Linked DNA regions of Canis lupus familiaris. The protein of the gene in region 2 interacts with the protein of the main gene of each other region in a biochemical or structural test. Links are inferred from orthologs where the notes say so. Each region holds a gene or a part of one and is shown on either strand. Other genes may lie near its edges.

What was found.
Region 1: the proteins of ATF7IP (region 2) and MBD1 form a complex in vitro, tested with the Homo sapiens proteins (2 studies listed by BioGRID). The link is inferred for Canis lupus familiaris from reciprocal best matches to the Homo sapiens genes ATF7IP and MBD1.

The regions. Positions count from the first base shown.
Region 1 is NC_049228.1:78,689,950-78,694,082, reverse strand, and holds the start of MBD1 (methyl-CpG-binding domain protein 1), read right to left. Parts: upstream 2,810-4,133; 5' UTR 2,635-2,809; intron 1,270-2,634; 5' UTR 1,254-1,269; coding exon 1,135-1,253; intron 1-1,134. UniProt on the Homo sapiens protein: Transcriptional repressor that binds CpG islands in promoters where the DNA is methylated at position 5 of cytosine within CpG dinucleotides. Binding is abolished by the presence of 7-mG that is produced by DNA damage by methylmethanesulfonate (MMS).
Region 2 is NC_049248.1:14,001,675-14,005,791, reverse strand, and holds the start of ATF7IP (activating transcription factor 7-interacting protein 1), read right to left. Parts: upstream 2,804-4,117; 5' UTR 2,567-2,803; coding exon 2,550-2,566; intron 1,658-2,549; exon of another isoform or gene 1,598-1,657; intron 1-1,597. UniProt on the Homo sapiens protein: Recruiter that couples transcriptional factors to general transcription apparatus and thereby modulates transcription regulation and chromatin formation. Can both act as an activator or a repressor depending on the context.

The DNA.
Region 1 (4,133 bases), on a different chromosome or scaffold from region 2:
ATCCTTATATATAAATCTCTTATAAATACGTATGTTCACATATTTATAGCCGGTTCTCATTCATGAAATGTTTTATAAAGTCACGTTGCACACGTGAATTAGTGAATATAGAATCTTGGCTCCTAGTGAAACTACAGTTTAGATTCCTGAGAGCCTCAGGTGACATTTCTTTCAACTGATTTTCTGTCAACTGATTCTGTGTAACCTTGTCTTATGTATGGCCTTCGAATGATTTAAAGCCAGCTTTGGAGTACTGTTATATAGGTACTTTTACCAAGGTACTTGTAAAATAAGGTACAGTCTCATCAGTTATTGAAAACCTATTCTTCTATGTGACACTTTTCCCATATAACACTTATTATTTTTAAAATTCGTCTGCAAATTCTCAATCTCCAGAACCTACCTTGTAAGCCAATTTAAAGTTTTTTCACAATCTCACCTGTTGAAATGTGTGAGCCAGTCAGCACTAGCTGAGATAAATTTAACATTTTCCTAACCAGGGGTAACACAATCGTCAACGTCATTGGCCTTAAGCCTCTCACACTGTCCACTACACTGTTACTGGTCATTGCCTTATGGATCTTCAAGTTTAGCCCACCTTTTCCTTAGCTCCATTATGTATTATACAAGTTACTTTAGCACTTTCCAGAAACTGGAAATCGGACAAATTAGAAAATTTCCCTTTCTTTTTCTAGATGTACCACATCTTTGATTCATTAACATTGTAGTCACACCTAATAGTACTACAATTCATGCCTGAAATTTATTTAATGTGTACTTTCTCCTCGTAGCACATCACATTTTTCTCCTTAAAGTCCATCACAGACTTCTTGCACTAAGAACACTAGACAGCACTGCAGCACCTCAGCTGCGAATGCGTGTTTTAGGCTACTTAGATTTTTTGCTGTTCTGTGCAGGTCTGTGAAAGACTGTGAAGTACAGGAAATATGGGCTTTAAGGGCACAAATTTTAGTGAGTAGGCAAATTTGCAAACATGGAATCTACAAATAAGAATTGACTATACATGTGTAATTTTAACCCACCCACAAAATTAACCACACCTAATTTCACCCTATTTCACCCTGCCTAAGCGGGTTCAGCCCTACCTATGACCGTCCACAACCCACCCAGTACCTCTGGTAATAGGTGTCTGAGCGTCCACAGGTGGCACCTGATTTTCGAAAGACCTCACGGCGCTTCCAGCCAGGGCCCAAGGCTGGGCAATCCAGCCAGTCCTCAGCCATGGGGGCCATGGGAAGGAGCAGCGGCCTGCAACAGGGAGGGCACGGTGGAGAAAACTGAGGCTCTAGGAGAGAACATGCTGTGCTCTAGCCACACCAACAGCTGCTATTTACTAATGCCCATCCCACGCCGGGTCCCTACCACAGGCAACCCGTCAATACAGTAGAGAAAATCCCCCGTCCCACCTCATTCTTCCGTGTGCTGGGCCCAGAGGCTAGTCGTTCCTCCCCTTCCGGACCTGGCAGCCCCACTTTTAACTTAACAGGCCGTATCCTCAACCCAAAGCTCCTCATTCCTTACTCCATGTCCTGATCCCCACCTCTTCCTCATCTTCAGCCTGAGACCCCATCCCTTCTCCCCTCTGCCAACCTAGGAACCTGTCATTCGTCTCAAGAGACATGGTCTTTGACCTACTGGTGTTGACACCTCCCCTGAGGGTTCACCCTGAACCATCCATACTCCCCATTATCAGTCCGAGAGGCCCCATCCCGCTCATCCTCAGCCAAGGTCCCAGGACTGTCCCTCGGTGCCCTAACCTCGCATTCACTCCCCTGGTTGGCCCAGGAGTGCCCAACTCCTCTCAGTCCTGTAGCTCTCCCATTCCTTCCCTCCTTCCCTTTCTGATGTCCTCTTGTCATGCCACTGCCTCAGGTTCCTGTGTCCTCTGCCCGAGAGCCCCAGCTTCTCCCCTCTTTATCCTCTCATTCCTTCTGTTCCTCAGCCTGAACGCTGCCTCCTCCTTTTGCCTGTAAGCGTCTTGAGCCACAAGTCTTCACCGACCTCCATCCCCAGACCTTATTCATCTCGTCTTCAGCAGTTTCTTCACTCCTCCCCGTCGGTGTCCCTTGCTCTCCCGTCCGCTGACACTCTCAGAGACCCTGATTCCCCCCCCCCAGCCCTCTGAAGCCACCCCCCAATCCTCCCTGTTCGTGTCCCAGGATCGTGCCATCCCCACCTCGGCCTTCAGAAGCCCTATTCCTTCTCCTCCTCCATCTGAGCCCCCGTCGCTCCTCTTCGGCATCCGAGTGCCCCTGTTTTTTCCCGTCACCAACCTGAGGGCCCCTCTGTCTCCCTCTCAGCGTTCTAAACCCCCACTTCTCACTCCTTAACCCCGAAGGCACCGAGATCGCCCCTCGGCGTTCGGATCCTTCTCCGCTCCTCTCCGTCCTCGTCCAGACTCCCGACACGTCCACCTACCGGCACACTGAGCCCCATTCCTCCTCGTCCTCAGCCAAAACCTCCCCGTTCCTCCCCGTCAGTATTCCCACGCCGCCATTCCTCCCACTCATCGGCCTGAGGGCCCTTCATTCCTCTCCGTCAGCGTTCGGAGCCTCAATGCTTCCCTCCCCGACGCCTGAGCGCTCTCCACTTCCACCCCCACAACTGTCTCACCAGCTTGGCACCGGGCCGGTAGCTTCCGCCGCTCTAGGTCCGTGGACCCATGCCGAGGGTCCCGCCTGTGACTCCCGCCTTGCCCTGCTCTTCTTCCTCCTCCGCAGACGCTTCCTCTGAAGCGGTAGCTGTCGCTGCCGCGGCCGTTCGTTGCTCCCGGAACCGGAAACCCGCTGCCCGCCTCTAGGGCCCCGCCCCCCAGACGACGCCTGCGCGCTAATGCCCCTCCCGCGCTTGCCCTTAGTGGGGAGGGCCCCACGCCTGCGCGCTTAGTCTCACGGCGGCGCGCGCCTCTGGCCCGGGCCCTACTGCGCCTGCGCCCTGACAGCCGGCCTCAGCTGCACCGCCCCCTCTTCTCCCCTCCCCACCCGGAGTCGTTCAGCCCCCGGCGCCTCGCTCCGCCAACCGGCACTTTCTCCCCACTCCGCCCACTTGGCTTGCGCCTGCGCTCTCCCAACCGAAGGGGGCGTGGAGGAGGAGGGGGCGCTACGCTCTTTGGCCGTCTCCACCCGGGGTAGTTGGAGGGGGGGCGCCGGAGGTCTCCTCTCATCTCTCGCCCCCATCTCGCTCCCATCTCGCTGTGCTGTGCGGGCCCCTGAAACATCTCCCCCAGAACTCGTGTGTCCCGTCCTCTCCGCCCCGCGAGCAGTTGCAGGAGCGCGCGGGGAGGAGCGCACCGCAAGCCGACCCCAGCTCCCTCCCTCCGCGAGAACGGGCGAAGGGGGCGGTGCCGCGCTGCAGGTAAACAGAAGGGCCGTGCCACCGAGAAGGGCGTGCGCGCCCTAGAGAGGCTGCGCTGTGGGCCCCGCTGGGCCCCGCGACCGGGCGGAGGGGGCTCTCGGACTTCTGTTACACACGTGCCCGGAAAGGGGTTTGTGGGGCAACGAGAGACCTTGTGGCCGTCAGCGAATACGTGTCTAATCTGGAGGATGTCGATGCTGACACGGGGGTGTCACGGGGGAAATCAGCCACATAATGAAATAGCGCCAACTGTATACCCGTTGTTTCAAGATGAAATGCTGAGGATGTACGTCATTGGGCTCTCCCTTAGTAAGTCATAGTCCGCTGCCCAAGGGAGCTCCTGCAGAGCAGAGGGTGGTTGCCAACTGCATACTCGAAGCTCTATACTGCAACTCCTCCTGAATACAGGTGTGCCTCAGCCCTTTCACCCAGGGGGTTTGGGAGTGCAGATGCAGCTGGATAAAGTGGAAACCAGTAGTAATCTCTGTTGGTTCTTCAAAATTTTATTAACAAAACCAGGGAGAGGTGAGGCAACAGTGAGCAAACTCCACAGTCCCACCCAGGCACAGAGAATGGAGAGACAGAGGGACAGACAAGGACAGAAGAAAATCCTGAGACCCTCTGATAACGGCATCTGGGTAGTCAAATGGTGGATGGGCACAGGGAGAAACTCAGGGACCATTGGAGAAACAGATGAATGGCAGAACAGACAAACGGGGAATTCGGGGCAGCTCCCGGGCCTGGAATGCAGGGCGTGA
Region 2 (4,117 bases):
AAGAAGTAGTAAAAGCAATTCAAATTTAGATTTGAACTCAGTTGGTTTCTCTCCACTAACTTCAACATTTTCTTTAAGGTTCATGCTTAAAGAAATGGCTCAGAAAAAAAGGACAAATAGGGAGTACAAATAGCGACAAAACAGTAACATTAAACCTTAATTATCCAGCTCCCAGATTTATTATGCCTTCAATTATGCAGCCTAATAGCTAATCTGGAATTCAGCACAGACAAATTGAAAACTGTCATCAGTCCCAAAAGTAATAATCCCAGTGAGGTCTAGTTTATGCTTATAGTTGCAAAAATGCAACACAGCCCTGAAAGAATTAGCAATAATAACCTAAGTAACCACTTTGTATTTTCCCATGTATAAGCAATAATCAATGGAGTCATCTTGTGGACGTTGAAGGTAAATTTTATAATCCAGGATAGAAGGCAAAAAGAGCAGATCATTAAAATTTCCCCAAGGTCCTACTTTGAAGATCAACATAAACTGCTTTGATAATTTCAACCTAACCAGTTTTTCTCCAGTAATGAAGAACAAACTGAATATCTGGCTTGAATTGTATAAAATATCTGAATACAGTGAGCGGTTCAAACTATGAGAGGTATGAAAATGACCATGATTAAGGACATAGCACATTCACTTCCTATGTCATATTCACTCTAGGGCAAAACCTTACTGAAAGGCATGATGGATAAAATCTCTCTCACAACACTAAATTTGTTGTTCTATTCTTTTGGGGGCAACCTCATATTACTGGATTTATATAATGTAATGTTCATATTATTATAATCTATTATATCACATAAAAGACTCCTAACAATTTCAAAGAGTAGTAAGTAAATGAAGTGAAATATACTAAATTTGTTGATGAAACTGAATCAGTGACCCCAAATATATTTGAAGCCAAAGAATAAATGACCAATGATTAAGAAAAAAATTTGTCAAAAAAAGAAAAAATATAAATGCAATTTTGTGGCAAGACAGCAATTTCAAACTGTTAACTTGTGTAAATATAGATCTTATATTTTACCGTCATGAAATTTAAAAAGAACATACAGAATATAGGTTCTAGAATACTTCTCAAAATGAATTCTACAGTCTCTTAGCAACTAAAGTTCTACAAATAAGCAACCTAATAAATAAGCAACCTCCTGACACTAATGAAAGATTATAATTGTGATAAATAATCTGGTTTCAAACTTTTGTTTTCATTGTAAAAGCCTAATTGTTCTTTTATAAAATAAACTTAGAGTAATACTATACTTTTAAATTGGAAAATAAATACAAACCAATAAAATATCATATGTATCACTTTTAAATACAGGGGTCAATCACAAGAATTTAATGTGCAAGAAGTTGTTTTCTAAAGTTGCAGTACTTAGAAAGTTCAAAACTTACTGTTCTATGTCATATTAGTCAGGGATATATTCATATATCCCTTGACAAAACTAAAGAATTGTACTATACCATTTATTTAAAAATTTTAGTAAGTACCACAATTTAAACACTAGAGTTTAAAATTTCTGCTATCTGAAATATTATGTAAATAAAAATTTCATTCTTCTTACCCTCTGGGTCACTATTGACTTACCATATCTCAATAAATGTTTCCACTTCAGAAGAATGTTAAAGTCTTTTGAAAACTGTGAAACTAAATTTACAAAATCATTGAATTACATTATTTTTAAATATACCACAGGTTTTAACTAAGACTAAAGTGGATATCAACAATTAATATTAACCTAAAACAACTGAGTATTTATTTAAGCTCTCTTGCACTAGAATACATTAGCTAGAAAGAAAAGGAGTATGCAGACCTACATATGAACTTGTTTCTAATTCAAAATCTGAATGACAGAAAAATAAATTTATTATTTAAAAAAAATCTGAATGACAATTTAAGGAAAAAGTAATTAGAATAAAAAGTTAGGACCCTTAAAAATGTGAAAGAATTAAATGGCCAAGAGGAGGCAGCATAATGAGAAAGAATTAGAACCCAGAGTACAAAAAAAATCTGTTAAAATTTTTTTTTCTTTCTGTGCTATGACTTATATTCAGAGAATTAACATTCTTCCCAGAAAGCTACCAAACAATAGCTCCAACACACACACACACACACACACACACACACACACACACAGAAATCTCACTCTTCATGCGAAACAAGGCTTATTTATGGCTTCTTTCCCAAAAAAAATCTATTCAGCAAATACATTGTTTTCAATTTCTACAAAAAAAAAAAAAAAATATATCAAACAAACTAAAATATCCAACACAAAAAAAATATTAAGTTATTTAAGGTCAGAAAACACTATTGTGGTGATCAAATGTTCTGACAATGACAGAACATAAAATGGTGAGAAATTACAGGAATTTAACCTTTGACCTCACCATCCTAAGTACTGTTTCCCTAAAAGAAGCTTAAAGCAAACATTTCAACTTCCTAGCAAGCAAGCTCTAAGTTCACCTTGCTATGTAAACTCAGTAAAATTCAAGTATTCTTTAATTAAAATGGTCAAAGATAAAGAGTAATTGGTTCTTACCTCTGGTCCTGATGCATGTGCCAAGTCTCCTCACTGGCATAGTTGCTGCCTAAGCAGCTACAAAGACCAGGTCAGCAGCCATTTTGAGACAGCTGCACTGTCTCAGTTGCACTAAAGTGTAATTAAGATGGCTGCAATGTGCACTCAAGAACTCACACAGTGAAAACTCAGCTATGTATCAAACAAAGCCCCTCCCACTTTGTCAGTCTGCAGGAAACTGAACACTGACAACAGCTAATGCATATACTGCAACAAACAATGCAGCTGCCTAGGACACAGAAAACAGAGAAGGCAGCAAGCCAGTTTTGTAACACAATGCCTGTGAATCCGGACTTGCAATACAGACTTTGGGCACATCCAGATCCCAGACAGCCTGAAATCCATGCCACATATTAGCAGTTACAGAGATAGAGCCAAATCACACACAGCAAACATCAGGGAATACGCTTGAAAGAAAGCCTCCATTTCAGTCCAGAAAAAAAAAAAAAAAAAAAAAGTCTGCTCAAGGCCTTTTTTTTTTGTCTTTTATAGTACTTTTATCATGAAAAGAGTGCCAATTTTTATAGTTTCTGGAAAATTAAATTGTTTAAATCCTGATAGTCAATTTCTACTTATAGAAGGCTAATTAAAGATTTTTTTTCCACCACAGAGTCTAAGCCCCCAAGTACTGAAATCTAGCAGAATGGTTAAAGCTTGCAGTCAAATTTTTGAATCTTGACAATAATTTTAAATAACTGCAGGGAAGAGACTAGAGTCATTACAGCTATACTGGCAACAAAGCTTATTTTGAGGAATCTGCCCTAAAGATAAAATAATTTCTTCGCTTTTGTAGTCCAGATAGCCACAAAGATAACTCCAGGTGAGTGTTTGGTCCCAGGGCAAATTAAATTTCATTCCCTGCTTCAGACCTCCCAACATTTTAATATGAGGGGAAAACAAGGAATGTAGGCACCCCGGGGGATAAAAACCAAAAAGGGAGAACAGTAGACTAAAATTCAATATGAAAGTGAGTATACTAACAAGACAAATTTGAGAGAGATCCCAACATATCTGGTCTTGGAAGTAACCTACCCATCAAGAGAAGAGAAAGACAAGAGCACAGAAAGGAACTGTTTGCTTGGTAGCTCATATCATCTAAGAAATCTACCTTCTCCTTTTTTCCTTGGTTTACCCTTCTTAAGATCTAGCTGCCCTATGTGATTTTGAGTCTATCCATCACATGATATAGATATTTACTAAAATTCATTAAGGGTATAGGAAAGTGGTAGGCATACAGCTTAAAGGAGATTAGCACAAATTGATAACTGTTCAAGCTGAGTGATGGGCACATGGAGTTATTTCATTCTATTTCTGTATATATTTAAAATTTAACATAATAAAATTCAAAAATAAGACAAACGTAACTCAACGTTTTTTATTTTAAATTCAATTAACTAACTCAGCTTCTTAAAAGATCCTTACATATTCTCCAAGGGGCAAACTGTATAATGTATGTAAAGACTTAAGTACTACATTAGATAAAAATATATATATATATTATGCTTAACCAAGCCACATTAATTCTTCAA